7 separate regions of the Mus musculus genome follow, and regions 1, 3, 4, 5, 6 and 7 are each reported to be linked to region 2. Evidence: microRNA targets listed by miRTarBase, many of them from high-throughput screens and not tested one by one. Region 2 holds a microRNA gene; each other region holds the end of a gene's coding sequence.
What was found. The annotated mature microRNA mmu-miR-410-3p reads AAUAUAACACAGAUGGCCUGU and lies in region 2 at 1,426-1,446, shown strand. An mRNA with a match to its seed (bases 2 to 7 or 8) in the 3' UTR can be bound and repressed. Matches are read on the target gene's strand: a 7mer-m8 pairs with bases 2 to 8, a 7mer-A1 pairs with bases 2 to 7 and ends in A, and an 8mer does both.

Region 1 (4,265 bases), not on the chromosome of region 2:
CTTAATTTTAAAACTGTAAAATATAAAATGAGAATCTGAAGTCCCAAGGAATTGAAGAGCCTGAATTCAAATGGGGTGGGGGGGTCTCGGTGTTAGGGGAACTGCACTGTACCTTTCCCTCCCTTTCTCCCCACATTCCCATTCCCCCACCCAAGGTGAAAACTGTGACACCTCAGTCCATACAACAATCCACTGCAAAGCTGCCTACACGGATCCCTTCGTCCATCCAAGGAGGGACCAGACCTTTCCGTAACCAACCATTCTGTTACAAATAAGCAAAGACCAAGTGTGGGCGGTCCTTCCTGAGGACCTTGCCATCCGATCACTTCCACGCTGCCCTTAGCAGCCTGGCAGAGTCCGGGATGGTCAGATGCAACAGCCACGTGAAAAGCAATTCAAGTCTAGAAATGAAGCAGTGCCTTGAGAAACATAAAGACCATACGCTGCTCACGCTCAGGGAGACTGAGGCAATTTGTCTCCCTCTCCCATTAGGGCATGGCATGTGGTTGGCAGCATTTTAGCTCCGTGGGGAAGTGCTGCAAGAGGAGTGTTGTTTTGACAAGATTAGCGGCAGGTCTTGGAGAGCCGGGTCTATGTTCTGAACAGATAATGGGAGGACTTCAAACTGTAGTCTGGCTTTGACCCGAAACAGTAAGAAAGTACTCAAAAAAGAAGCCACTGCATAAAAGCTGCCTACCAGTCCAGCCGAGTATTTCACATGAGCAGACAGACCCTCAGTATCTCAGATCCATATTAGTTACACACACTTCCGCAAACACTGCAGTGGGAGACACTGACAGAAGCAGTGGGCTGCAGGCCCTTATTATCTCTTTAGTTTCAAATACTTCCTAACTCAGTATGTATGTGTACACACACACACACACACACACACACACACACACACACACACACCACTTATATATATAAAACATTTTATATTTATATATATATATATGTTATTTATATAACGCACAGAAAACTCAAGTCTATTCTACAGCTTAGGAAAGGTAATTTTTGAGAATTAAAATAAGAGTAGGTAGGGCTTGCAAAGCAAAAGTGAAGATAAAACCTACTCCACTCTGATCCCCACCCTGACTGGAGACTGAAATCAGAGGTTACTGCAGCACACTGGCAGTGACGAGCACTGGTCCCATCCTGCTTGGCCAGACACAGGCAGCTACCCTGGCGGCCCAGCGACACCTACAAGGCACAGTGCTTGTGATGGTCTCGTGCTATCATCTCTAGCTCTTTCCAGCCCAATTTCTAAAGCTTTCCACTGATAACCAGAACTCTCATCTTCCTCCTGAGGTTAGGAAATACCACTAGTATCCCATGCTGCTTTGAGTCCTTTATTTCTGGGCTGAATAAAATCAACCACAAATGCTGTATACCTAAACCATATTGAAAAGCTACCACCAAGCAGCTTCAGGCTCCGAGTAAGCACAGTGCCTTGCAATGTCACTGACACAGGACATGAAACGACCGACGGTGTACGTATACTTACACCAGTCAGCCAACGTTCTGCTTCCTAACCCTCAGTTCTAAGACCCAGGCTGCGATGATGGCACAGGCAGTCGCCCTTGCACTTGGCTTGGAGCAGGCAGGCTTCTGAGAGCAAGCCTGTTAGTCATCTAGTAGGAAAAGATCTGAAAAGTGCAAAGTCCTTTTATAGATATAAAAACAAGCGAGCCATAGCAGAGAAGCAGGAGAGAGATAGGTCAGGGTAGGGTATTTATAAATACATGATGAACCCTGGGGCTTACTCTATAAAAGTTATCAGATACTAAAAAGCACGAGGTCAAAAAGGAAACAAGATACAATCTCATATCGGACATTGTTCTCATGAGGGTTACATTTGGAATATCAAAGGAAGTCGCTTATCAACAAGTTTAAAAAATGTTATGTCTGTATAAAATAAAATTTAATATGACAAAACCCAGATACTCTTACATTATTGTTTTAAAGGACATCAAACTTCATAATTGCTCAAGAGCAGAGAGTTTAGTGTTTGCGTGGGCTGTGCTTCGTTCGAGTCGGTCGTAGGGACTGCACTGGGTGCTGGGTACCGTCCTGTCTCCCTCCTCACAGGAGCTTGTCTAGCCAGCGGGATTACCACAAGTGCTAGACTAGGTAAATGGCAGTTCAGGAGCTTAGAGAGGAACTGTAGTGTCTGTTGCCTATAAATTGCACATTTATATATATTTAAAAAAAAGAGGCACAAAATTGCTCTTTCTTTTGTCCAGAGATGAGGTCTGAATTGATTTGTAAAAAACTAAAAAAAGGACAAACGCACCTAACATAACTACAGGGTGTCATAGAGCATCTCGTGCCCTACGTTAGTAAAGTATAGGTTCTTGAGGAGAAGAGAGCCTACTGGGTACCTCCAGTAAGCAGTTGAAACACACTGAGGAAGTTCATATTTCATGGTAACACTAGATTTTTATTTAGTCTAATGTTACCATGTCTGACATGATTTCACACAAGTAATACTGGACTAGATCCTAAGTGCTAGATGCAAGTGAATTCTGCGGGCCGACGCCTTGGTATGCTTGGGTCTGTACTATTCAAACCTCACAGCCATGTTTGCAAACACTGACTTTGTGGGGGGCGGTTTCAAGTGCTTTCTACATGGAGCATCTCTGTGGCTCCTACATACCCTGTAAAAGAGCAAGTTCTTCCCCTTATGCAATGGGGACAGTCTTAAGTATTGCATAATACTAAGTAGAAATGGTTCACATATAACTTAGGGATGTTTCTGTCCACTTGCATCATCCCTAAGTTAGGAAATCAACTGAAAAAGTCTATTTCATATAATTCAGATTCAGTTATATAGCTTTACCAGGAAACATGACTGAGTGACCCAGCTGGCAAAGGAAACATGATTGGCAGAGGGAAAGACAGAAAATAAAATGCCCTTAAATTCCAGGTTAGACTGGAGTCTACATTAAATTGGTCAGAAAATGGTGCATATATGATCCAATGTTTGGTCTGTGCCTTATCTTTCTTTAGCCTCTTGCCAGTGGTCAGGACAGCAGGAATGAGCATTCCCCTATGTATTCACATCCCTCAAATGTTTCAGAAAATCACAATGAGTAGAATGCACTCACTCCTTGTCCCTCTAAGATATTTCTACGTAGAGTTGGCGCACCATGAAGCCCACCCAGTTTAAGACCACAGAGGTAAATGCTGTCAAGGAGTTTGTTTTCAAGAGGCCAGTCTGAATACTTGCTGAGAGCCTTCTCTGACCCGAGAAAAGGCCCGGGAAAAAGGAAAGAGAAGTTAGCCACTCTATGGCTCAGGAAAGAGGTATATAAAGGTGACAGTCATGCACGCTTGCACACACACGCACACGCGCACGTACACGCACGAGCACTCATGGAGGTTAGATTGTTTGAACTACACTTCTCAGAATACCTAAAAATGAAAATAAATACAGGAATGACTACTTTCACTTTACATAACCCGGGAGTACATCTTAGGCTTTACACTGATCGTATAGACAAAACTTTCTTTTAATTTTCTCTCTCTCAACTCTAAAAACAAGGACACCTCTTTTGCTGATTGCAAAGACACTGAAGCACAATGAAAGGCAAGAAGAGACCAAGGGAATTTTGCTGTCCACAAAATTATCCCCCAAACAACAAAATAGAAAACCCAGACACCAGCAAGTGCTTTAGCCTGTGTGAGCTGGCGCCCATCTCCGTCAAGGCGGACTGACGGCAGGGCAGGGCAGGCGTGGCCTCTCTGCGCCTCTTTACTGAGAGCAGTGGGAGGAGGTCACCACCGCTCACTCCTTTACTTCTTCTCCACTATCTTGGGATTCCCATTTACATCTGATCTTGCTCCAGTATTCTGGTGACACAGGAGATGCAGGGTCGTGGCTGGAGCAGCAGAGACGACCTTCTAGTGCAGAGGGCACCAGAGCCCCTTTTCCATGAGCCTTACAGAATGAGTGTGGACAGAATTCACAGAAGGAAACGGCTACACTGCCACACTCGTCACACCGATGCCACGGGCACTCCCACTTTCCTAATGCAGGGGTGGGGAGGAGAGGGAAGTATCTGTTAGCTGATTTCTTGATTACCCACCAAAAACCCAAGAGGTACCCCCTCCCCTTTTTGGAGACAAAGTCTCATTGTGTAGCCTGGCTGCTCTGCCACCTGTTTCCTAAGTGCTAGGATTAAAGGCATATGTTATTAACCCCATTTTGAAACAAGGTCTTTCTCCAAAGTGTAGGCTGGCCTCGATCCTCTGGCCTGTGCCTC
Region 2 (4,248 bases):
CGTATGACACACTGCATGTGACCAGTCTCTTGCTGCCCTGCAGCAAGGCTAGAAGCCTGTGTGAACTCTTGCCAAAATCAGAGAAGGGATTCTGATGTTGGTCACACTCCAAGAGTTTTAAAATGAGTGGCGAACACAGAATCCATACTCTGCTTATGGCCTAAGTCAATGGATCCTGACCCTTACTGGAGAGCCCTCCCTGGCGTGCTCGTGCGGGGCAGCCATACACACTGGCACAAGGGGACCCTGCGGGATCTCCTTCCGCTGTTCTTTCTCTCCTCCCTCCATGTTTATCTTTGAAGCATTACTTGCTTGGTTTATAGGACTGGATGGTCAAGCAGTTCTTGCTATGACATCACCGTGGGGGGAGGGGGCAGGTGACAGGGCGGGGATGCCAGGGTCGTGGGGCTGCAGTGGTTGGGTGGGCCCAAGGAGGAGCATCTCTGGATGATGCAGTCATTGCCTCCTCGCTTCTGGAAGGCATCGTCTCTGGGAGGGTGGTGTGGTATATGCGCAGGGTCTCAGCATCTCCCTATCTCCAGCTTACAAAGGAGAGATAGAGTAAGCAGAGTTCTGCACCCACTTCTGCCCCGAGTCAGCTCCTCGCTACCTGGGTCTCAAGGTTGTCTGGGAAGGCTTTAGATATTCTTGGAAGGTGAAAGGGTGGTAGATTGCACTGGGGAGGTGATGGAATAATTGCTTTCACGTGGTGGAGGGTGGCTCCTCACTGAATGGGGAGTTATAATCTCTGAGGGGCTCCAGGATGGTTCTTCTGGAAACTCAGCCATCGGCCTCGTTCTGAGCATCCGAGCCTCTCCGTGGTACTCGGAGAGAGGTTACCCGAGCAACTTTGCATCTGGAGGACGAATGTTGCTCGGTGAACCCCTTTTCGGTATCAAATCCCTCCAGGGAGGCCACCTCAGGGAAGACCATGGACTCATCTCGCTCTGGGGTATGGGACGGATGGTCGACCAGCTGGAAAGTAATTGTTTCTAATGTACTTCACCTGGTCCACTAGCCGTCGGTGCCCGCTGCAGCCTGCGCCCAGGATGTCACAGCCTCAGCTCAACACCTCTGCTGGTACTTGAAGGGAGATCGACCGTGTTATATTCGCTTGGCTGACTTCGAATAATACATGGTTGATCTTTTCTCAGTATCAACGCTCAGCTTGGAGAAGCTCTTGGAGTTGCAGCCCCTGTGGGGGTGGGGACAGCATGGTGCTTCTAGGTTGCTGCCTCCGCGGGGAACTGGGCTGGGTGGAACAGGCTGTGTGCTGCCTGTGTCAACCCTACTCACCATTTATATGCAATCCCCCCCTTCCCCCCAGGACAGCTTCAGGTGGTGATTCCAGCTCCAGGGTTGCTGCGGTCAACACTGGGTACTTGAGGAGAGGTTGTCTGTGATGAGTTCGCTTTATTAATGACGAATATAACACAGATGGCCTGTTTTCAATACCACCTGCCACTCCGGTCACTCGGCAGTACATACCAGGTGTCACACCACTGCCCGGTAGGTAAATGCATGGACTCTGTATGACGCTTGTCACCCCCTCTTCACTGAACCTCAGCTCTGAGGAGCCTCCTGGGATCGCACCAACCTTGTAGGCTGGGCCACGAAGCATTGGCCAGATGTGCAATGGATGGCTGTCCACTTTCCATGCCTCTTTCCCGCCACAACAATGGGTGTTTGTCCCTGTCTAAGGCTTCCACCGAGGGCTGCATGCTCAAATGCCCTGTACCCTGGGTGCTTCTCAATACCATGAGGGCTTGGAGGGGCTAGCATGATACTTAGGGAAGAGCCAGGCCAGTTGGTTACACGTGCAGTTCCTAGTATCTGAGGTGAGATTGCCCGTGACGGGTTTCCATTCTTAATGCTGGTACAGTGCATGGTCACCTCTCTTTATCATTGGCTCTTACTGTGTGAGCATGGGTGTCAGGGGAGGGACACACTTTGCTGACCCACTGGACACCACTGATGGTCAGGCATGTAGCTGACTCATCCTGACCCAGAGCCTCACATCTCCTGAGGTGGGGGTTGGGAAGTCCAGAAGGGCATCTTAGAGGAAGAAGCATCCTAAGTAGAGTCCGTGCTGGTGGTACCTGAGCTAGCTTGTCTCTGAGACGTTTGTTTTCTATCTGATGACTATCCCACAGCCTACTTCTCTGCACCATGTCCTACCCTAGACCATTTCTACTTTGAGGCATTGATGCCAAGAACTGAAGCCTTTGTGTTGGTTGACTCTCTAGTCTGTATGTGAGACCATCCCTTGGCCTGTCTTGTCCTCAGTGCCACCCTGTTGGAAATAGCACAGAATGTCCTCCTGAGTCTACAAGGCAGTGATACCCAAGCTCTGTCCCTGCTTCACGAGCACAGGGGGCCCAGTAGGGATTAGCCTGCACTTCTTTTTTTTTTTTTTTTTTTTTATTTTTTTTTTTTTTTTCATTTTTTTTTTATTAGGTATTTAGCTCATTTACATTTCCAATGCTATACCAAAAGTCCCCCTTACCCACCCACCCCCACTCCCCTACCCACCCACTCCCCCCCTTTGGCCCTGGCGTTCCCCTGTACCGGGGCACACAAAGTCTGCGTGTCCAATGTAGCCTGCACTTCTTCATGTTTCCTCCAACTTAACACTCTGGCTCTGTCAGACTCCTGTGAGCTTACTGTAGAGGCTTGACCTAGAGTCTCAAGGACCCCAGAAAGTACCTGATCACACCCAGTAGGAGCCTTTGAAAGACAGGCTATAGATTTTTGGTATTTAGTAAGGCTCCCCAGGGTGGCAAAGAGCTCTTTCTGATTGGGCTTGCTCCCCATTGGAGCAAGTAGCACCCTCACCCTGGCAACTCCACCCTGCATGCTTTTTCTCCTCTTCTGGGCCTCCTCAGCAGCAAAATGCTCTTCCAACAGAGATAGTGGCTGCGCACCCTGGCTTGTACCTAGCACATGGTCTCCTTTAGATTTCTTCTCTTGTTCAGGATGGTCTGCCCAGGCGCCCTCTCTCTGGGAGTTGGTCCTGGTTACTGTCTCCCACAGTCCATCCCCCTTCCTTGGTCCTCAAGCTTGTAGGCCCCCTCCACAGGAGTTCAAGACTCGGAGGGGATCGTGTTCCCTGCTCTGCAGTGACAGTGCAGGCAGCCTGACACTCTTATCCAGCTCCTTCCTTTGTGATATGACATCAGACTGCTTGTCAGCTATGGCTCCCCAGGTGCCTGCTTTCCCAAACTGCCTAGTACCTTGGTTCCCAGCCTCTCCCTGACCCCAACCAAAACAAAACAAAACAAAACAAAACAAAAAAAAAAAAAAAAGAAGAAGAGAAAAGAAAAGAAAAGAAAAGAAAAGAAAAGAAAAGAAAAGAAAAGAAAAGAAAAGAAAAGAAAAGAAAAAAGCTTTAAGATTTCCCAAGGCAGACGAGGACCTTTCCTTTGCGTCTTTTCTCTTTCCTCTGTTTTACTCCCTACCCCTTCCCTCCCTCCCATCTTACTTCCCTGACTTATCTTCTGCTGTATTCTAAGCCTTAGGATCCAGGCCAGGTCTATAGTGACAGAATAATGGAGTGTGCTGATTGACTAATAGAGTCCCCAAAGGCAGAAACCATATTAGGTTAATCCCCAGGAAGGTGGTGAGCATGAAGCAGGAATTCCATAAGATGTGGTGGCTGATTCCATAAATATAGAAGCTGGGTTCACTTAGTCTTTGCATTTGTTAGAGGCCTCCCACCCCAGCTAGTCACCGATTTTTGAGACGTACAGCGATAGGGGACAGACAGGTCAGCTATGTCTGCGGGCTTTTCTTTACTTTTGTAGCTGGGGGTCTCATGCTAGGCTTCAAATTCATCTGAGCACAACCCCCACCCTCCACTCCGTGAACGTCTCCGTGGCAGCAAGCCAGAGGCCCCTCAGAGGCCCTCGTGCAGCAGGCCTGAGCTGCTGTCAGGGCTAATATTTTATGCATGGACCTAAGCAAATGGGAACATTTGGAGATGGAAATTGCTGTTAATGACACATCTTTGGAATATATTAAACGCGTGCAAGAAGGCTGCTGATCTCTCCATTTAATTGCTCCAGTGTAAGCGCAGTCACACCACGGCATCCACAGATAGGCTACCCCTAGTCTCTGCATCACCGATGGGGAAAGCCCCAGGTACCTCAGCCACCAAGGGAGTATTATGTACAAGATGGAATGTCAGCTGGGGTGCCAAGCAACCACCGACACGCACACTCCAAATTCATTGGAGACCCTAAGAGGATG
Region 3 (4,252 bases), not on the chromosome of region 2:
ACTAATCAGACCATGATTGTCTTCTCTTCTGCCTGTACCTCTCAAATGCCCAGGTTACAGCTGAGGACAGTGAGGCCAGGAAGGTGACTGGGACTTGCCCAAAGTCACACAGCTATTGGACAGCAAACTCAGCCTACCATGCAGACCTGCCAGCCTCCAGCCCATACAACCTGACTGACAGATGCACACAACACTGCTGCCCTTTCTCACGAGTAACTCTGCCTTGTGGGTGACTGCTCTGCTTGGCCACCATCTCTGGGGCATGTACTCACTGGTGGCTTTGGGTCCCTTACGCTGGCAAATTACCAATTCTCTCTGGATAACCAAATGTCTATCCGATGATGAAACCTGTCAATCCCCAATCCTCAAGTCCCACACGCCCCAACACAAGCTGCTTTGACACTAAACTACACTGACTCACGAATCTTCTGATGGGATGTTGGCCCCAATTCTCCTACGCCCCTAACACTGTAGAAATGTAAGCCAACTTCAATCTTCCTCTCCTTCAATGGTAGAACAGGTTTTGAGGCTCAAGGTCTGTAGAAAATAGCCCTGATGACAGAGAATGAAACCGCAACAGTTCCGGAGAAGGCATTCCAGTAAGAAAACAGAGCAACCCACACAGTCCCTGGAGTTCTAGCCACTCAGTATTGATAGCTCTAATGAAGGCAGGGCGGGGTCTTCTCACTGCTGAGAGCTCAAATTGCTAGGCTGAAAAGCAGACCACAGTGGGTAATGGCAAACTGAAGGCTCTATCTGCTTTGCAGGAGTGGTTAAGTGTCTGGGTGTCTGGGTGTGAGGGGGCCACACCTCCTTCCTCAAAGCTATTCAGCTGTGACTAGCAGATAGCTCGAAATGAGGAGAGCTGATAATGTTGACAGTGGACTTTTTCCTAACTTTCCTGATGTCACTTTTGAGTTCCCAAACTTCTGACCTGCGAAGAATTTTAAACACCAGTTCAGCAGTGAGAACAAGAGAATCAAACTCATCCCACAGAAACCCTGTGCTGAGCGAGATGGGAGGTGCACACACATATCTCAGTCCTCTGGAGGCTGAGGGAGGGTCACCTCAATTTCTCTCTTTCTTTCTTTCTTTCTTTTTTTTTTTTGAGACAGGGTTTCTCTGTGTAGCCCTGGCTGTCCTGGAACTCACTCTGTAGACCAGGCTGGCCTCGAACTTAGAAATCCACCTGCCTCTGCCTCCCGAGTGCTGGGATTAAAGGCGTGAGCCACCACCGCCCGGCCTTTTTTTTTTTCCACCTCAATTTCTAGGTTAGCCTCAAACACACAGTAAGGTCAGACTGGGATATATAGCAATACTGTCTTCAGAAACCAAAACAACAACAACAAACCATTTTTAAACATCCCACAATAGAAACAGAAGACAACTTGGGCATTTTTCCTAGAGAGAGTTTCAAGATGACAGTATTAAGAGACACAAGGGAAATATGCTTCTCTGATACCTGCGTTTTACCAAAGATAGGATTTAAGTGGTCTGGGGTGAGACTTGATAATTAAAAACAAAATAAACAAACAAATGAACAAAATGAACAAACAAACAAAAGAAAAAAAAACCCAGACCCTTAAGTTCATTAGTTAGATACAGGTCAGCAGGACAATTCCTTAAGAAACTTATACTACCACACCCAGACACTTACTTCTGACGTAATGGGCAAAGTGACCATGAGGGAAGCCTAAGCCATGGCCCGGCCACTGTGGGCACGCCGTTATGGGGCATGGCTGCTCATCTGCCTGGAATGTCCCCAGCAAGCCTTTCTATAAATAGATTTTGAATCACTTTGTCAATATTATTTCTCTTATCATTTCTTTTATTTAAAAATAAATTTAAAATAAAATTTTATAGTGGCAAAATAATTTTAAATTAAAATTTCCTACTTGAAGCTAACAGAGATATATATCTTATAGAAGGGAAGACTTTCCTGCCATTAGTAACGAATGCTTAAGCCAAGGAAAGGTGATGCGGTTCAAAACACGGTCTCCCTGGAAATGCAAGCAGAGAAGCACAGCGTGGGTAAACGCTGCTGGTGAGCCCGTGGTGCATCTGCCAGGCCCTGCAAGGCCAGGACACACTTGCCACGGGGAAGCTGCACACAGAAGACACAGAACAAAATACACGGATTACTTTTAGCATGTTAAAAACAATCAACCACATCAAAAAGTATACAGATAAAAAAATGCCATAGATGACATAAGAAAATAGTGTGTCCATATATAGCATATATATATATATATATGTATATATATAATCTACATTATTTACCACTATGATATATACTTTCTGAAGAGGCAGAGAGCTGCCATCATGAACTAAACTGTACAGCTTGGCTCCTTACAAGTCACACTTTAAGACTGAAATTAATATCCTCAGCTACATGTCTATATACATTTATATCTCACCTTCCACATGATCTAAATCAAGAGCCTGGTTATTCTGTCAGGAGTTGGGAGTTTCAGTGTGGTGTTCACCTTTAATATACTGCATTTGCTTCCACACTTAATAACATCATTACCACATTAATTAACTTAGATTAGAATCATTATATACATAAAAATATTGTCACGTTTGCTAGATAAACAATGTTACTTTCATGAAAACATATTCTTGTACCTCACAAACTTAAGTCCCCACCTTGGAGCAGGGGGAGTGTCACTGTTGGACTTTCTAGTTTCTGATATTCAGATACAAGAAGAGGGTAACGGTGGGCGAGCACCTACACAGACGCCGCCATCGCTCTTGGAGAACCCAGCACTTTGTCAGTGTCTCGGTGACAGTAGTGTGTGATAGCATAAAAGGAATCATCACCTTTTTTAAAAACCATGAACTTCAGTTATTTTTCACTGAAAAAAAATTCCAAAAGTATGAAACAAACTACCCTTTTTCCCCTTTTTTTACAAAGATCAAAATTCTAGATTAAAATTCCTTATTAATCATTAGGGTATTTTTCACAATTTCGACCGGGGCCCAGTAAGTGTTAGCAGTATCCACCCACTGTGCTCTGTGAAGACCGAGTGCCAGAGAAAGCCTGTGAGAAGGGGAAGCAGGGTGAGAAGCAGCCTTCCTTATGGTTAGAGCTGCTTCCCCACGACTGTGAAATGCAATCTTCTGCGGCCTGGGGCCCTGCAAGGTCTGACTTCCCTCACACCCGGCCAGACCAGAGCCCGGGGCACAGCAGCACCAAGACTGCTGGAGATGAGGGGACTCAGTGAGCACTGTGCAGCCGCTCACTCGGGTAACCGACCCACTTTAGGCACCATCAAGTGGTGAGCCTTTAGCTTTCAGGAGGAGATAAAATGGCAGCAACTGAAGGAGAATGACATTCTGTCAGGCGCTGGATTCATCTCTAGTCAGTTTCAGTTTAGAACCTGGGTTAAAATATGTTTGGGCAGGGTGGGCAGAAAGATAAAGGGTTAAAAAAAATCCACTGTTAGTCTATGTATCTAGATTAAAGGTGGTTTTAAAGACAAAACCTATATGCAGTTGCCTCGTCTGTCTATGAAAAGGCGAGGGTCGGCCCTCAGAGTATCTGCTCTATAGCGGTCAGTAGTCTACTGTTCTAACAGCAACGGAACAGAGCGGGTCTGGGGAGCTACGAAGGGACCAGCACAGAGAGCCGCCCTGTGTGTGCAGCCCTCGTGCTACTGCTGGGTCCCCAGGGTCCCCTATTAAAGGTTCAGCCAGGATGCAGCTGACCCACTCTTCTTCAGCAGCCTCTGCAGAGGATGAAGCCTTCCCACACTCTTATCACTGACACACACTGAGCTGCGCACGCTGTTTACAATATAAAAAATACTGCTCTGGCAATTATAAACATAGCAATGTGGGCATATTGTTTCTATTCTCTTGTCAGTGAATACAGCCACACGCTCACAGCAACACTGATTCCTGCACAGAAAGTCCCTCTCCATTTCTGTAGTGATGTGCGGAAGGTGAGGGCCCTGCATATGGATACCCAGGAGGACTGGCATCTTCCACAGCTGCAGACATCTTATACCTCACTGGACTGTCTACAGACACTTCTGGAAGGCCATGGGCCTGAAACGGTATGTGCTGAAAGGCTGCATAGTTTGGTAAATTGCTTAAGTGGCTACGGTGAGCATCCCGAGTCCATGATTGGCCATGCATCTCCGGTCTGTATGTGTAACTAACTTCTGACCATTTTCTGTTCTCTGGCAAATAGTCCACCGGAGGAAGGATGAACTGTCCATTCTTTGGTGACCCCGAACTGCCGTAG
Region 4 (4,262 bases), not on the chromosome of region 2:
CTGTGCCTTTACCCCGGCTTCTGCTTCCGCCTGCCCCTGTCCAGGTGTGCCAGAAGGCCGGTGAGATTTCCCTCCTGAAGCAACAACTGAAGGACTCTCAGGCCGATGTGTCGCAGAAGTTGAGTGAGATCGTGGGGCTGCGCTCACAGCTTCGGGAGGGTAGGGCCTCGCTCCGGGAGAAGGAGGAGCAGCTGCTCAGCTTGAGGGACTCCTTCGGCAGCAAACAGGCCAGCCTGGAGCTGAGTGAAGGCGAGCTGCCCCCTGCCTGCCTCAAGCCTGCGCTGACCCCCGTGGACCTGGTCGAGCCACAGGAGGCGCTGGCCTCCTGTGAGAGTGACGAGGCCAAGATGCGCCGGCAGGCTGGCGTGGCGGCTGCCGCTTCTCTGGTTTCTGTTGATGGGGAGGTGGAGGCTGGAGGAGAGGGTGGGACACGGGCCCTACGCAGGGAGGTGGGGAGATTGCAGGCTGAGCTGGCTGCTGAGCGGCGTGCCCGTGAGCGCCAGGGTGCCAGCTTTGCGGAGGAGCGCCGGGTGTGGTTGGAGGAGAAGGAGAAGGTCATTGAGTATCAGAAACAGCTCCAGCTGAGTTATGTGGAGATGTATCAGCGCAACCAGCAGCTGGAGCGGCGACTTCGGGAGCGTGGGGCAGCAGGGGGGTCCAGCACGCCTACTCCCCAGCATGGAGAGGAAAAGAAAGCCTGGACCCCCTCCCGCCTGGAGCGCATCGAGTCCACTGAAATCTGATTCTCTACGTGCACAACCTTCTGACACGTGCCCTGTCTGAAGGTCGGAGTCACCAATGTCCCTTCCATTCATCTCCCTTCCCCACGTGTGCTGCACATCCCCAGACCAAAGAGGTTCTCGAAGCAGCTGTGACCAGCCCCTCCCCCCACTTGTCCCCCGTCCTTGCAGCTCCAGCACTGCCTTTGTGGGTGACCACTCCAGACCCTCCTGCCAAGGAGAGCATGGGAGAGGGCAGAGTACAATGGGGTGAGGTCCCAGGCGCATGGAGCAAGGCTCCCTTTCTGGGGAAGCCTCGTGTTGGAGATAGAGGCAGCAGGCCTGCGTTGCCAGGGAGTACCCCAGCCCCTTTCCCTTCTTGGGCTGCTACCGCCGCCACCACCGTCACCACCATCTGTCCAGTGCTACTGTCTGTGCCCTCCTAGGCCACACAGCCTGAGGGAGCTTGCATGGGTCTGCCCGTGTCGACAGACCCTAGGCTCCCAGTCTCTCTCCTTCATGTGCTATTCTCCTTCCCCAGGCAGATTGGCAGGGGAAGTGGGAGCAGATGGCCTGCCTGTGGTTGAGAGGGCTACCTGCCCGACCCCTCCCCCACCAAGGTATCTTGGGCTCCAGCCTCAGAGCCTGGACTAGTTCTGAGCATGTGTCCCTCTGTGTATAGTGAGGAAGTGAGAGCAGAGGCTGGAAACTCAATCCCAAGGGGAGATCTGCCTTCCTACCCTCGGGAAGGGTCACCTAGAGGCTTCTCAGCCCCACCCTCACCCTCTGGCCAGGATCCTACAAGGCTACATCCCCTGCTGCTTGGTTGACCCCCCCAAATCCAGGGTCACTGCTCAGCTCTGCTTATAGCTATACCTGCCTCTTAGGTCTTCTGTTTGCCCGTTTCTGAGGTCAGATGGATGGATGTCTGATGTCTTCCTGTGTTTTCCCTCGATCTCTCCCCTTGGCCTCCTTTCGCACTCACATCTTCCCAGGCTGCCTTTTCTTCCAAGTTTCACCTTTCCTCCCAGCAGAAAGCTCTGCTTGGCTTTTGGTGCACTGCTCACCCCCAGCTCCACTGGCCCAAGTCTGAGCCTGGGGCCCTTGCTTTGAGGGGCCAGTCCGAGTTGGATGGGACTGCCCTCAAGGAACAAGGCTAATGTGTGTGTGTATGTTAGAGAGAGAGAGAGAGAGAGAGAGAGAGAGAGAGAGAGAGAGAGAGAGAGAGAGAGAGAGAGAGAAAGAGAGAGAGAGAGAAAGAGAGAGAGGGAGGACTACTGACCCTTGGGTTGCTTGCCAGACTCTTGAGTTGGCTCATTTGTCCGGGCAGGGTTGGCTGGTATGGTCATCAGTATGGGTCGTGACAGTCAATGTCACTTCCTTCTCTAGGATCTCTCAGATTCTATCTCCCCAAGACAGGCAGGGAAATTCTAATTTCTCTCTTAAGAAAGTAAATTTCCACTTCACCAGCAATAACAATCAGAGGAGACTTGGCCCTCAGTCCTTGTATTTCTCTTTTTCACTCTCTCTTCCACCCCAAGATGGAATCTTGGGGACAGGAGGGAGAGGGTTGGTAACTACTGTGAGCAAGTCCCCCAAGCCCTGACCAGCCTCCTCCCATGACTGGTGACTGTTTAACAAGCTGTGCATCCCCCACAAAAATAGGAGTGCCCTATTTGTAGTCTCCACCTCTCTGCACAGCTCCTTCTGGGTGGTCCTCAGCAGGGTTTTGACCTTGATTGGCGGCTACTCTGGCAACCACTGCCCATTCTTCTAATCCCTCACAATACGTGATTCAGACCCTGAGCCTGGTCCACAGTGACTGGGAAAAGGCATTAACACAAAACAAAAGAGATGGGGGGAGAGAAAAATATGAACAGCTTTGGAATGTCCAACTGCAAAATAAATTATATATAAATATATAAATATATAAATATATATATCTACCATATGTGATGGAAAGAGTTTTCATTTTTCCTTTCCCAAAGAAATAAAATGGAGAAAGCCTCTTGGATGGCAATTCTGTGGCCAGCCTGTATCTTTGCAAGTACGGGAGGTAAGGTTGGGGGGTGCAGGCAAAGCTGGAACAGATATTTCTCCAGAGGAGGCATGGGACCAGAGTTACTCATTGTACTATGCAAGGAGATTGGCTCAAAGCCCAAGTCTTCCATGCTTGTCCAGGAATTGTGGTTCCACCTTTCCTACCAATGGGGGTGTTCTCTCTTCAGTTCAGGCTGTTAGCAGTGTTACCAGCTGACTAGCTCAGGAGCCATACACTAGGCTGCTACCCAGAAGGCAGGTGATATGGGCAGCTAGGCACAGCCTGCAGTCACTTGAACACTCCAGTGATTAGCATGGAATCACAGAATGGGTTTTCAAATAATGACAAAAGACCCAGGCATGCTGTAAAATGGTGATCCGTCCTTTACAGGGTTTCCTGCAGTCCACCCCACAAAGCCTCACAACAACAACAACAACAAAAACAACGGAGTGTTCAGTAAACATATCTAACCACTTTTAAAACATGGTTTATTTTCCCTTCACCCAACAAGTCCAGTAGTAGGTATCACAGATATTGGCTCTCTGTGGATCTAAAGCAGTGGTTCTCAATGTGTGGGTTTTGACTCCCGTGGGTTTGACTCCTTTGGGGTCAAACAACCTTTTCCCAGGGGTTGCATATTGGATATCCTGCTATCATATATTTGCATTAAGATTCCCAACAGTAGCAAAATTACAGTTATGAAGAAGTGACAAAAAGAATGTTATGGTTGGTGGTCACCACAACGTGAGGAACTGTGTTAAAGGGCCACAGCATTAGAAAGGCTGAGAACAATTGAGCTAGAGTCTAGATTTTTTCATCCTTATCCACTCAACCTGTCTCCTCTTTGCCACAGAGCATCCCAGCTCTTTGAGAAGATTGATTTGCACCAGTTCATCGTGATATTGGAGGTTTTCCTGAGGCTGGGTGTGGTAGCACACACCTTTAATCCCAGTTCTCAGGAGGCAGAGACAGGCAGATCTTTGAGGCCAACCTGGTCTACAGAGTGAGTTCTAGAACAGCTACTCAGTCAGACACTGTCTCAAACAAACAAACAAACAAACAAACCTATAAAAATTATACAGATACCTTAAAAAGAAAAAAGTTTTCCTGGGTGTTGGGGAAATGGCTCAAACAATAAAGTGCCTGCCATACAGGTATGTAAACCTGAATTTGTATCAGCAACAACAATATAAGAGCAGGCCCTGAAGCCTGTTCTGTCTGTAACCCCAGCACAGGAGCCACTAGGTCTGTTACTAATCATCCAATCAGAATCTGTGAGCTCCAGTTACAGTGATGGACACTGTCTCAAAAAGTAAGGTAGACAGTAATTGAGGAAGTTGCCTGATGGTGACCTCTGGCCTCCATATGCGCAAGCCAAGAAAGTCCTAGAAGCATGCAATAACTCTTCCTTTCCAGTACTGTTGACTAGAGGTGGGCTATAAGCTCCTCCCACTTCATAGGAGACTAGGAAACAGCATTTTGCAAAGAGAAACTAGATTGTC
Region 5 (4,295 bases), not on the chromosome of region 2:
TGGGGTGGAATCAGGAGTACTCCTTCCTACTTTTAGCAAAACTCACCTCACAGCTCCCAACCATGGCCTCCTACACCCACTGCTCAAACTCCACTCAACTGAAACCGTATTTTCTTTTCTGCCCCATTACAGAATGGGCTTCCTCTTCTGAGAGCACCACACATCCCTCGTCCTCTTCACCTGCCTGTCTGCAATCCTGACCAGAACCTTCTCTCAAGCTTAGATCATTCCCGAATCCCACTTCTAGCCTTGCTCAAGCTCTTTGGAATCAAGCTCAAACTCCTGAATGTTCCAAGACACACCCCTTCTAGAGATGCTGGATCCAACCCAAACCTGCCCACTCCGGAACCCACCATGTGTTTAAGCCACACCCCTCCTAGTACCCCTCTCCCCAGTCCCTTTTAGCCCCATTCCAGAATGGTGTAGGACACCACTTCCCTTTTAGGCTCCACATCCAGTATGTGTGGAATTCAACTTTTGGCTGACTGGTCCTCTCTCTACAGAGGCCATCTCCTCTCCACCCATTTCATCCAAGCCACCTCCACCCCTCTACTCTTGGGGTTGAATTTCCATTTGAGAGCTTCTTAAGTTCAGGCGATGCTGGAGGAACCAAGGCTAGAGTTAGGAGGGGCAGAGGGAGAGAAGGAAGGGGGAAAAAGTCACATCGACCCACTCCATGCAGCCAAGGTCTGGCCCCCTTCCTGTCCCCTTTCTAGAGCCCCCTTACATCACGGGACAGGGCTGGGGAACCGATAGGGGCTGAGGAGTGCAAGGTCAGGGGTAGGGAGGAGCCCATTCAGGACTGGGCCCCTAGTGCATGGAGGAGTGGGTGAAGGTAGGGCTCAGACAGATAAATAGATATTTATATATAATATATATATATATAAACAGCAAAGACAGGGTCTCCTGGGTTGAGGGGTGGAGACCTAGGATATGGGGATGGGAAGGGGGGCAGGCCTTCTCTTGAGCTCTTGCCCACCCGTGGGGTCTTCGTGGGCTTCACTGACCTGTAGAGAGAAAAGAGAAGGGGTCCAGGTGAGGGCAGAGTCTGAGCTCCCAGAGGAGGGCAGTACCCTCAGGAAGGGATTGGGCCGCTAGGCTTTTTCTTCTCCAACAGGTCTGGAGTCAGCGCCATCCTAGCTGCTCTCACTAGGAAGATATTACCAACCCTGCTCAAACAGGGTACCAAAGGAACGGTTAAGGTCCCCTCTCTTAACCAAAATAGCCCATTAACCAGTACCGTTCTAGTCACTGTTGAAAATCCACATTGAGAAAAAAAAAATCCCTATCTCTGTGAGGTTTACATCATATCAGGAAAGGAGACAGGTTTCACAATGAACATGACATATTAGTAGATTATCAAATATAAGACGATAATAGGCCATGCATGATGGTGCACACCTTTGATACCAGCACTCAGGAGGCAGAGGGAGTTGGATCTCTGTGAGTTTGATGCCGGCCTGATCTACACAGTGAGTTCCCGAACAGCCAGGGCTATGTAGAGAGACCGTGTCACCAAAAAATCAAAAAAAAAAAAAAAAAAAAAGAAAAAAAATCCCTAAGTGAGCCTGTAGAGATGACTCAGGAGTTAAGAATGTGTGCTGCTCTTCTGGAGGACCCACATTTCACTCACAGAACCCACACTGGGTGGGTTACAACAATCTGTACATTTATCACCAAGGAAGCTGACCTTTCTTCTGGACTCCATGGACATTTGAACTTACGATTAAATAAAAGAATAAAAAAAAAAAAGTACTCTAAGTGATATATGGGTAGCACGAATGAGTCTTAGATCTCCAATCTAGTGTAATATATGAACCACAAATTAGTAAATTACAAATTGTGAGAAGGAAAAACATAGGGTATGATGCGAGAGATAACAAGCGGAGGTGTTTTAGACAGACAACCTTTGATATGTAGCTGGTGGTATATACCCGTGCCAAAATTTAGGAGGCAGAAGCAGGAGGAAAACAAGTTCAAGGCCAGCTTTGGTTCCATAATCGGACCCTAACTCAAACCAAAGCAAAACAGGGAGGTAGAGGCACTGTCGGGAAGTCAAGATCAGCTTTAGTGACCTAAGGAGCTCCAGGCCAGCCTTGGCTACAGGAGATCTTGTCTCAAAAATACTATCAACAACTAAGTCAGGTGTGCTGGTGGGTGCAAACCTATGAGTTCCAGCCACATGGGAGATGGAGACAAGAGTACTGCAAATTCACAGCCCACCTGGGTTATAGGATGAGTTCCAAATTGATCTGGGCAATTTAGTAAACTCTGTCTCAAAATAAGAAGTAGAAAGAGACTGGGCAGTGGTGGCGCACGCCTTTAATCCCAGCACTCGGGAGGCAGAGGCAGCTGGATTTCTGAGTTCGAGGCCAGCCTGGTCTACAGAGTGAGTTCCAGGACAGCCAGGGCTACACAGAGAAACTCTGTCTCGGAAAAACAAAACAAACAAAAAAGAAGTAAAAAGAGGCAGTGTTAGAGCACTTGCTTAGTGTGCAAGAATTCAAGTCTCAGTACTTGTAAAACAAAGCAACTCTCCCGACAGCCAGCCAGCCAGCAAAAAACCTCATTGAGTGAGTGACCAAAGCAATGGCTAGGGAAAGGTGTGTATGTAGAAAGCAAAAGCAAAGGCCCTGCAGTGCACCTAGACCTGGCCCGGGCCAGTTTGCCCGAAACAATGCTAGGAGGCGAAGGTCACATTCTGTCTGTGGGGAAGATAGGGCAGTGCTGCATTGGTGGGCCTGGGCGCACACTAACATCGTTTTTGCTTTTAAGTGAGATGCTACAACAGACAGTGAGGGAAGGACAGTGACTTCTGAATCTAGGCCAGTGGCCCAGCAGAATCCTTGAGGCTGCTGGGTGGGTGGTAGAAGGGGTTGTAAACAGGATAGAAGACAGGCACTTGGGAAGCACTCTAAGGAAGATAATTGTGAAAAAAAGGAAAAGGCTGGAGAGATTTTGAAAATAGGAACCAACAGGACTGGAATCCCCCCCCCCCCCCCACACACACACAGGGTCTCCAAGCAGCCTGGAAATTGCTTTGCAAAACAAGAGACCTAGGCCTGTCTCTAATTCCCCCAGAGCTGTGCTTAAAGGTGTGTCTCAGAGCCTGTCCAAGGAGTTTAAAAACAATTAAATGTGGGTTGCTGTAGAAGGCTCACCCAGGACCACATCTGCTCCCACCTAGATGCTGTTACCGTCTCTGTTTAAGACAGGATTGGGCTATACTGACCACGCAGGACTCGAGAACTTGCAATCCCCATGCCTCTACCTCTCAAGTGCTGGGATTATATATGTGCTCCATCACACCAGGCAGGGTTTTTTTTTTTTTTTTTTTTTCGCGACAGGGTTTCTCTGTATAGCCCTGGCTGTCCTGGAACTCACTTTGTAGACCAGGCTGGCCTCGAACTCAAAAACTCCGCCTGCTTCTGCCTCCCAAGTGCTGGGATTAAAGGCGTGCGCCTCCACCGTCCGGCGGCATTCATTTTTTAAAGGCCCAACAAAAAGGCATACTCGTGTTTCTAAGGCCTCCAGCCCTCCCCTTTTCCTCATTTGAAATTCCAAACTCTCTCTTTCATTAAAGGGTTAAGGAGAGGTAGCAGCTGACCTACATCCTGCTTTAGCGCTAGCGCCCTTCAAAACCCAACGTGTTTACCTTCTTCCACCTACTGGCGTTACCGCCTATTGGTTTACCAATGATTTCAAAGACCCTCCTCCCCTTCCCTTCCTGGAAACCTACACCACTTTGGTGATTCTCCACTGCGCAAGTGCCCCTACACTCCTTTCATTGGTTACTCTGAGCACTGCTCCGTCCCCTTCCTTCTCACGGTTCCTCTCATTGGCTAGTTTTACCAAGTTCACCTTTTTTTTTTTTTGGTTCTGCCTATCTATTGGTTCCTTCAAACTTCACTCCTTGTATGCTCCCTGCCTACCGCATCCGCCCAGTTGTCACTCACCAGATTACATCTGATTGGAGAAGGAGGTGGGCGCACCCTGTTGGCCGTAGCCTTGCTGCCCATAGTCGCCCTGAGGCCCGTAGCCACCGCCACCGCCGCTGGCTGGCTGCCCGTAATCGGGTTGATAACCACCCTGAGGCCCGTAGGAGTCCTGGGGCCCATAGCCTCCGGGGCCCTGCCCATAGCCCGCATCGCCGTAGGCATCGCCAGGAGCTGGTTGCTTTTCTGGGGCGCCTGGAGGTGCGCGCATGAATGGGGCGGCCCAGCCTGTCTCCTTGAACACGAACCATAGGTTGCCAACCCAGAGCACCAGGTTCAGGAAGCCAAACACCTGCAGGG
Region 6 (4,307 bases), not on the chromosome of region 2:
TATTTTCTGTGTCTCTGAGGATGTTGTATATGAACCAAGGATGAGGAAATCAGTGGCAGTGGCCTGCCCTCATGGTTCCCGATCCTTGGTTTTTAGGCTTGAATTTGAGTCAACTTTGGGACTCTGTGGCATAAAACTTTCTCCAGCTTACAGAGAATAGATTGTGGGACTCTAAGAGTCAACAATCGCATATATTAATTCTGTATCCTAAATTCTGTATGTGATCTAGAGAAAGAAAATGGTGAGGTGAGCCAATTCAGAGGTGCCTGAGGCAGAAACATGGTGGGCATTTTATTACTGTCAGGGTAGTGTGGCTGGTGAGGACTGAGAGTAAGAGTAAGGGGACAAGGGGAGCAAGCAGTTCGGATAGATTCTTTCCTTTTTTGGGGGGGATGGAGTTTACATCTTATTATCATTTTTAAATTTTATTTATGTATGTGAATACACTGTCTTCAGACATACCAGAAGAGGGCATCAGATCCCATTACAGATGGTTGTGAGCCACCATGTGGTTGCTGGGAATTGAACTCAGGATCTCTGGAAGACCGATCAGTGCTCTTAACTGCTGAGCCATCTCTCAAGCCCAGGATTTATATTTTATAAAATATATAATCAACAAACAGAAGAACTCATGCCTAATGGACACGAAAAATACCAATTTGAAACATAAGTGTGCTGAAACTCTTTAAGTGGCTAAAAGATTATGCCCTGCAAAATGAGATTATATAATATAATCTGGTGGATACAGTTCAGAAAACTAGCTAAAAAAAAAAATCTTCCCAGTGCAAAAAGTGACATGAAATAAAAACCAGATTGGTTAAAATGGTAGATTTGATACAGCTGAAGAGAGAGTTAGTAAATTGGAAAATAGAATGGAAGAAATCCATCAATTTGAAAACTTCCACAGGAGTTTCTACTGTGGGGTTTTTTAGAGCATGTCTCACCTCCCAGGTTAGAGTTACTGTGTTAAACAGACATGCTTCAGAATCAGGGTTAGCAGGAAGGAAAGAGTTTCTAGAACTAGGGAAATCCTACTAGCAGAGTGAAGGCCTGCGCTAATAAGACCTAACACTATTGACTAATGTGTGGCTATCTTTACTCCAAGGGCTTACCTGGGTCAGGAGCTGCACATGATCAGAGATGGGTGGCCAGCATCCTTTCCAAGCCTCTGCTATTCCTGTCGATTTAACCTCCCCTATTCTTTCTAGCTCCTGTTCTCTGGCATTTCTTCTTCCCGATGTCACTATTGTTTTCTGTAGGATTTATAGTGTGGCCTGTTTAACACTAGTTCAAAAGTTTTGAGCAATAACTTAGTTATGGGCCTGTTTGTTGTTAGAAGAGGATGCAGACATTGGTTACACACAGGAGTTAAGCACCTGGCAGGAGAAAAGGGGATCAGTTCATGTCAGTGCCGTGTGACGAATGTCACTACATGATGGCATCTAGGGAAGAGAGCTCCAGAAAAACAGTAGAACTAAGTGAGACTGTGAGAACTGGCAACCTGGGTAATGAGAAAATCTGGCCTCAAAGGGTGGAGGGGGATGTATACATGATGTAATCTTATTTCCACGACACTACAGAAATGGCACAACTATAGAGACAGAGAGGAGGCCAGTAGTTGCTAAGGGTTAAGGGCAGAGGCGGTTTGCCTACAAAGTATCAGTGGGAGAATCTTTTCTGGGTGGTAGGAACCTTAATGTTACTAAGTTGTGGTGCGAGGGATCAAGCCCAGGGTCTCATACCTGTGAGGCAAGCGCTCTGCCACTGAGGTACACTCCCCAAGCCCACAATGGACTTTCATATTCTGCTTCGGAACTTCAGGACTTGTGAGTTCCCACAGGGAACTCGCAGAATTATACACCACATCAACTTCATCGTAAGCTTCAAAGGCCAATAAGCAATTGTTGAAGATTTCTGGAAAACTGACAAAGTGTGGTGGGGTAGGGAGGCAGGATGTTGCTTAGATACTTACTGCAGGACCCTTCTGAGCAGAGCCTTCCTTACTTTACCCAGACGCAAATGAGTTGCTGGTTAGTCTACAAACACTTACCAAAACTGCAACTAGCTGGACTGTGCCTGGATTCTGTGAGCCAATGTTAGGGATGGCCTGACAATGTTGTGGGAAACTCTGTAGAATGCTGCCCTCAGTGGGGCCTCACCCCAGGGGTGACCAGTTGGTTTTGTGAGATATTTATTGGGCGGATGTGAGGCTCAAGGCTGGCCCGAGGAGTCAGGAGTCACAGCTCTGGCTTTGACAATGCTTCCTTTTCCAGGAAGGTCAGTCATACCGTGAGTTTTGCTGCTGCTGCTGCAGCTTCCGGTCAGATGTTTCAAGCTCTAAGTTTATTCCCTCCTCACCTTGATGCTGTGGGATAACCCAGGAATTACCTAACCAGGGGCGGGGTTACCAGAGTCCAGATTAGCCCATAATGGAAGAAAAACTACACCACGGAATGATTTTGCTCATAAACAATTTTTATTTTTGTTCTCAGGATGTGCCCGTAAAGAATCCAAAATGTTGGAGTTTTTGATTCTCCAGGGACCAAAGATGAGGGCACTGTATGGGACACCCAACCTTGGCTCCTGGCTCTCTTCTGAGGAGCTGGGGTGCCAGCCTCAGAGAGAGGGCTGACAGTCACGCCTAGTCCAAGACAGGAAACACAGCGAACAAGGAATTAGTAACACAGACTCAGTCTGTAGAGGGCTTCAAATACACATATTCTATATATATAAACCTGTTATATAGGACTTCAACATATTGGTTTCCTTGTGATCGGCAATTAAAATACAAATGATAAAGATGTTGCACATGGCTGACTCCCCTGCTCAGCCCCCCTCCCACCCCAACATAAATAACTTACAAAGGTCAGCTGACCCTAAGAGTTTCTGCTGTTGTAAATATTTCGTTTGTAAAGTTGTTTCCCCTTCCTCCCCTGCAAACTATCTCTGAGAGCTTGTAACATAGCAGCGTGGAATGGACGAGACTGGGTCAGGGAGGAGAGCTGGTGGGGACGTGGAGAATCCCTGCTTCTCACTGACTGGCCCCGGGCAGCACTGCGATTCCAGGGACAACGGAGGCTACACAGGAAGCAGAGAATGGGCAGCGTGGCTCTGGCCTCCCCAGGGAAACGTCTGGACCACAGAGGAGCCTTGAAGGCATGGAGGTTTGGAAGACAGAGCGGAGCTCCGAGTTGTCCTGGCTCAGTATTTACAGTGTCTGGGAAACCCTGTTTCTGAAGATGCTTCTTCGGAGGGCGGCTGGGGGAGGAGGAACTTAAAACCAAGCAAACCCAGCTGGCCCTGCAAGGCCAAGCTCTGCTACATTTTACTTGGCAATTCACACACATCATCCATGCGGGTACCAGCAGTGGTGGGGCTCTGTTCTGACGAGGGCTGGGAGAGCCGAGGGACAGGAAGGAGTGCTCTAGGGAGAGCGACGGCCCTTCTTCAGCATGAGGTGGCACTGAATTGTCTGGATCCGGTTCTTGGCGGGCACAAACTCTGGCTGTAGCTTCAGCGTTGACTCGTACCACACCAGGGCCTTCTCAAATTCTTCCTGTGAGGGATAAGGAGCAGATGTGAGGGACGACACTACCTGACTAAACATGGCTGTGGTCAGGGACAACCCACCATGACTTTGATGTGGATTTAAGTCTGTGGACAGCTGAGGTGTGAGGCGACGCAGTATGTTTCATCCCAAGGGCAGAAGAACCACAAAGCAAGCAGTGGCTGAGCACATAGACAAAGCAGAAAGCAGAAAACTGGCCTCTATTGGCTTGAAATATGCAGTAGCCATCTTAAGAGCCACTATTACCTGGCCTTACAACATCCTTTCCATAGGCTTCCTAAACCCCTAGACAGAGGCCTGGCGAATCTCACTGTGTATCTGCTTTGATTTTCTACCATGTCCAGCATGATGGAGCTGAACTTGGGCAACTGTTAGCACTGTATGAGTTCAGGATTTTTTTTATTTTTCCAAATACTTAAAACATTTAGAGATGATCAATGCTATATCTAGCACATAACTCTCTTAACTCAGACTAATTCTACATAGAAGAGAGCAGGACAGCCTCAGTGGCTTTCTCACACAATGAGACAGACTTGTTCACTCACAGCAGCAAATTTCACAGTTACTGGGGATAAAAACAGTCTTCAGTTTTAAGAAACAGGAGAGGCTGCAATTCAGCACCGCCAGCCTGGCCAGGACCCGGTGCCTCAGAAGTCAGGGATGACGCACACATAGCTTACAGCCCAGAGCTTTCACTCCATGACCTGTTAGGAGAGCAGCCTGGGGACTGCCCCTCCCC
Region 7 (4,307 bases), not on the chromosome of region 2:
GCATCGAGCTGCCACTGCTAACCTGTGAACTGAACTGCTGACAACATAGACAGGAGTTGCTCCAAAAAAAAAAAAAAAAAAAACCATTTCTAAGCAGGCCCACTTCCCCCATATCCTTTCTTTCCCACTAACTCTGGTTGGCGGTGGGCTAAAAGGGAGGTTAAGATGTTTAAGAACCATCATTAAAAGTAAGATTTGAAAGAATTAAAAGATACAAGAAACAACGTAAGTGGGACGTTTTGGCTTTCAGTATCAGCGCATGGCAGGGAGTGCACAGTGGAGTCATTCATATCAGGGCAGCCAACAAACACAGGCCTACCCTACCGAGACACTTCCTCCAGCTAGGCCCTGCTGCCTCATGGTCCCACAACCTCCTACCACACCAACAGCAGCTGGGGATCAATACTGTGGGGAAGCTGGACCAGGGGGCATCTAACAAGACTAGGACTAGCCATCCAGTTTCTACTCAGTATTTTCAGTTATACTCACAATGGTATAAAAACCTATGTCTTAGAATCCACCAATTTAGTATTGTCTACTCACAATTGGAGCTATAGTTAAATCAGTTAGCAATGGGCAATAGCCAGATAAATCTATCTGCTATTGTCTTAGTGTTTTACTGCTGTGAAGAGACACCATGATCCTGGCAACTTTTATAAAGGAAAACATTTAACAGGGGCTGGCTTACAGTTTCAGAGGTTTAGTTCATTATCATCATGGTGGGAAGCATGGCAGCGTCCAGGCAAGCAGTGCTGGAGGAGCCAAGAATCTTGACCTGAAGGCAGCCTGTCTTTTGCAGACAGACTCTGACTCCAGGCTGGGTGGAGTTTAGACATAGAAGACCTCAAAGCACAGTGACACACCTACTCAAACAAGGCCACACCTAATAGTGTCATTCCCTGTGGGCCAAGCATTCAAACACATGAGTCTATAGGGCCAAACTTATTCAAACCCTCATAGTTACTAATATGGAAAGTTCTTCAGGATGCTTTGTAAATAAGATACAAAATATGATTCCTCATAATACTATTTCTCAGTGTAGTTATCAGGATATGTATAAAGAGTACCACTGGAGGGGTGCGCATGTGGTGGTTTGAATGAGAATGCTCTGGGCCCCTGCCCCCCACTCATATTGTTGTAATGCTTGGTTCCTAGTTAGTGAAATTGTTTGAAGATTAGGATTAAGAGGTAATGGTGTAAAGCCGGGTGTGGTGGTGCACGCCTTTAATCCCAGCACTCGGGAGGCAGAGGCAGGCGGATTTCTGAGTTCGAGGCCAGCCTGGTCTACAGAGTGAGTTCCAGGACAGCCAGGGCTATACAGAGAAACCCTGTCTCGGAAAAAAAAATAGAGAGAGGTATGGTGTAGATATCCATTAATTCTCATGGCCATCCAACCATCCCCCTGCCCCTCCCCAAATCTGAGGGTGAGGAGGCAGGGGGCATCTCCAGGAAGAGACAGAGACCTGGGATAGGGGAGGCACCCAAGAATCAACAGGGGTGTCTTTAGCTATGATTTAATGTGGGTCTGCATCCACCCTGCCTCAGGGTACAGCCACAGGGGAGGTAAGACATGGGATGTGCTTGACTGTTTTTCCATGCAGTGTGCTGGGCTTCAGGGAAGCACCTAGATACTGCTCTGAGGGTGAGAAAGCAGAGTCTGAGATGTGGGAAAGCTGGAGCTGGCTCGGCGGTCCCCAGGACTGTGACAAGGCTGGGGCAGTGGGGTTCTTGGACTCTTGGGAGTCACAGAAGAGCTGAGAACGGAGGAGTGTGTGTGTGTGTGTGTGCACGGGCTGGGGACAGCATCTAGGTGAGAGCCTGGGGAGGAAGGGAAGTGCCAGCTTGTCTCAGGGGTGATTGTCCTTAGCTCAGTGGAGGAGGCTGGAAGTACAGAGGCCTTCTACCTGAGATTTAGCTGCAGCGGCTCTGTAGCAAAGACCTGCATGCTCCCCATGGTGGTGGTAGATAACAGACAGTCCATGTTTATCTATATTGTTTATTGGATGTTCATTGTGGAAAGTGGATGCATACCGTACCATACCCACTTCTCAGGGTGGACTCCAGATTAAATAATGAAGTGGAAATTTAAGGGTTCTTTGGAAAATTGTTTGGATGATGTTTTGCTGGGGCAAACATGAAGGAACGTTTTTGTTAAAGTGGACACAGGTGTGAAAGGCTAAGGCAGACTCGTGACGGCATGTTTCGCTGAAGCAGACACAGGAGAGAGGATGCTCTGCTAAAGCAAGCACGTGAAAGGACACGTGATGGAAGATTCTTTGTTAATGACACGCATGTATTGGTCCGCCTGTCATTGTGTAGTTGATCTGCATTTGCTGGACTCCATAGAAGAGCAACGCCTCTGATGTTAGATGGGAATCACACTTTAAAAGGGTCAGAATATGGATCCCGAGGGAAAGAATGCTCCGCACTGTTCATGAACACCTGGAGTGCCCATCCTTCAATAGGTAAGCCATTTGCTTGAGTTTTTTGGTCTACTATACGCATGTGTGTTTGTGCGCAGGTGTGTGTGATGGCCAAAGGTTGGTGTTAGGTGTCTTCCCCTATCATTTCTCCATCCTTTTGACAGGGTTTCTGGAAATGGCTGGTCAGCAAGTTCTGGGCATCTACCTGTCTCTGCCTCTTGAGTGCTGGGGAGACAGATTCACGCACTCCCATGCCTAAGTGCTGGGCATCAGCTTGGGTCCTCACATCTGCATATCTCTGCAGCCACTGCTCCACCCACTCAGCGGCTCCTTCCACGTTTGATTTTCTCCCATGTAAAAGGTGAGGGCTTGGGACTGGAGAGGTAGATAGTTCAGAGGTTAGGAGGACTGCTGCTTCAGAGGACGAGAGTTCAGTTCCTAGCACCTTTATATGGTGCCTCACAACTGTAACCTCAGCTGCAGGGAATCTGACCTCTAAAGGAACCAGGCATGTACGTGGTGCACAGACACACATGCAGGCACAAGTCAGAGTTGGGAGACGGAGTTCCTGTCATGCAGGAGACACTGTACCTGGGTTTGATCTCCAGAAACCACTGTTCACATCCCTATTTAAAGGGACAGAAAGTGGAGTAGAATGAGAAAATTACTTTATTCAGTACACTGTACTGTTTAGTTCCACTCGTAATTACAGTACAAAAGAGTCCCTTGCTTATTGACTTTTTTGGCTATCCTTTATTTAGCTGGGTGTTTAGAAAAGTTAAACTTTAAAATCCCTCAAATTACTGAAAGCTATATATATATATAAACGTATTCAAGTCAATCTCAGAAGCCATAGTTAGGGAGGAGTATGGGTCAGGTAGAATCCGCCTGGCCTGGGTGAGCCCAGCCTGATCTGCAGCACTATAAAAACAGGGCTTTCAAAGCCATTCAGAGCTTTCTCTTGGAGGTCTCTTGTTCACTCTGTGCTGTCCACACTGGCCTGAATTTGTGGTGTTCTGCTGCTCAGCTTCCCAGACTGTAGGCATGCAGGACATGCCTGGCTAAGGCATTCTTTCTGTATTTAAACCTGACCTTTATACAGTCAGAAGCTCGACCGGTGGCGGCTTCAGTGGAATTTTTCCCAGGGTAAATCTCTGGGATTGAAACTGCTCCAGTTCTTCCTTCATCAGCTGATCCCTGGGTGTGAACAGTGCGTTATCAGCGGCACCGGAGGCTAGGACAGAGGTAGATATGCCGCTACCTCCAAACACGTCAGTGGAAGGTTTAGCAAATACAGCCTGAGAATGTGGGCTAGGACTGCCAAAACCAGCCACAGAACTGCCGCTTCTCAAGGGAGGGGCTGTTGTAGAGCCAGAGGGACTCGCTGCCATGGAGGCTGGAAATCCCGAAAACCCAGGTGATGCAAAACTGGAACCTTCAGGGCTCTTGAACGAAAATGATGCAGCAGACGTGGCTTCAGGTTTCCCAAGTCCAAAGGCTGGAGTGGAGGAAGAGATGGAGGAGCCCGCAGAGGGCCCAGCCCCAAAGGCTGGGTGACTTCCAAATACTGAAGTGCTTCCGGAAGGAGGAGTGGCAAGTCCAGGGCTTGTTTTAAAACTAAAGTTCTGAACAGTACTGCTGCTGCTGTTATTCACTGGGAAGCCTACAAACATAGGTTACAGTCAGAAAATGTGGCCGTGCCGCTCCCTTCTCTTATTTCAGACATGTGTAGATATTGAAGAGTTTAGGGACACATGAAAACAAAGTTAAACCGACCCTCTGAGTCCCACTGCCCTGTCACGACTCATGCGTCCATGCGAGTCAGAGTGGGTGTGCGCTTCGGCTTGCCATGCTTTTCAGCAGAGCAGCCTTGTGACTGCTGTG

Region 1: miRTarBase lists Nsd3 as a target of mmu-miR-410-3p. Seed matches in the 3' UTR shown: 7mer-A1 at 3,308-3,314, 7mer-m8 at 2,737-2,743, 8mer at 962-969 and 7mer-A1 at 921-927.
Region 3: the mRNA of Usp6nl is a reported target of mmu-miR-410-3p. Seed matches in the 3' UTR shown: 7mer-A1 at 2,260-2,266.
Region 4: the mRNA of Lzts3 is a reported target of mmu-miR-410-3p. Seed matches in the 3' UTR shown: 7mer-A1 at 2,627-2,633.
Region 5: miRTarBase lists Syp as a target of mmu-miR-410-3p. Seed matches in the 3' UTR shown: 7mer-A1 at 881-887 and 7mer-A1 at 866-872.
Region 6: miRTarBase lists Ttc17 as a target of mmu-miR-410-3p. Seed matches in the 3' UTR shown: 7mer-A1 at 2,727-2,733.
Region 7: the mRNA of Nupl2 is a reported target of mmu-miR-410-3p. Seed matches in the 3' UTR shown: 7mer-A1 at 3,243-3,249.

What each region holds. Positions count from the first base shown.
Region 1 is chr8:25,713,923-25,718,187 of GRCm38, reverse strand. It overlaps Nsd3 (nuclear receptor binding SET domain protein 3), which reads right to left. Exons shown (of 23, transcript NM_001081269.2): 23 at 1-4,029. The coding sequence ends at 3,788. Among named protein-coding and RNA genes, the nearest start is that of Plpp5, 4.0 kb to the left of the region's middle.
Region 2 is chr12:109,742,339-109,746,586 of GRCm38, forward strand. Mir410 (microRNA 410) reads left to right here and starts at 1,377; the gene lies at 1,377-1,457. It overlaps Mirg (miRNA containing gene), which reads left to right. Exons shown (of 8, transcript NR_028265.1): 5 at 1,019-1,080; 6 at 1,328-1,509. Mir409 (microRNA 409) reads left to right here and starts at 820; the gene lies at 820-898. Mir412 (microRNA 412) reads left to right here and starts at 951; the gene lies at 951-1,030. It also overlaps Mir369 and Mir541.
Region 3 is chr2:6,441,376-6,445,627 of GRCm38, reverse strand. It overlaps Usp6nl (USP6 N-terminal like), which reads right to left. Exons shown (of 15, transcript NM_001080548.1): 15 at 1,808-4,252. The coding sequence ends at 3,886. Among named protein-coding and RNA genes, the nearest start is that of Gm13388, 5.9 kb to the right of the region's middle.
Region 4 is chr2:130,631,247-130,635,508 of GRCm38, reverse strand. Lzts3 (leucine zipper, putative tumor suppressor family member 3) reads left to right here. Exons shown (of 5, transcript NM_197945.4): 5 at 45-2,744. The coding sequence ends at 743. It overlaps Gm52563 (a long non-coding RNA gene), which reads right to left and starts at 67. Exons shown (of 3, transcript XR_003954061.1): 1 at 1-67.
Region 5 is chrX:7,648,549-7,652,843 of GRCm38, reverse strand. It overlaps Syp (synaptophysin), which reads right to left. Exons shown (of 7, transcript NM_009305.2): 6 at 3,957-4,287; 7 at 1-1,007. The coding sequence ends at 3,961. Among named protein-coding and RNA genes, the nearest start is that of Prickle3, 6.7 kb to the left of the region's middle.
Region 6 is chr2:94,298,312-94,302,618 of GRCm38, forward strand. It overlaps Ttc17 (tetratricopeptide repeat domain 17), which reads right to left. Exons shown (of 25, transcript NM_183106.2): 25 at 2,455-3,556. The coding sequence ends at 3,425. Among named protein-coding and RNA genes, the nearest start is that of Mir670hg, 35 kb to the left of the region's middle.
Region 7 is chr5:24,181,687-24,185,993 of GRCm38, reverse strand. It overlaps Nupl2 (nucleoporin like 2), which reads right to left. Exons shown (of 7, transcript NM_153092.4): 7 at 1,986-4,086. The coding sequence ends at 3,518. Among named protein-coding and RNA genes, the nearest start is that of Nupl2, 19 kb to the right of the region's middle.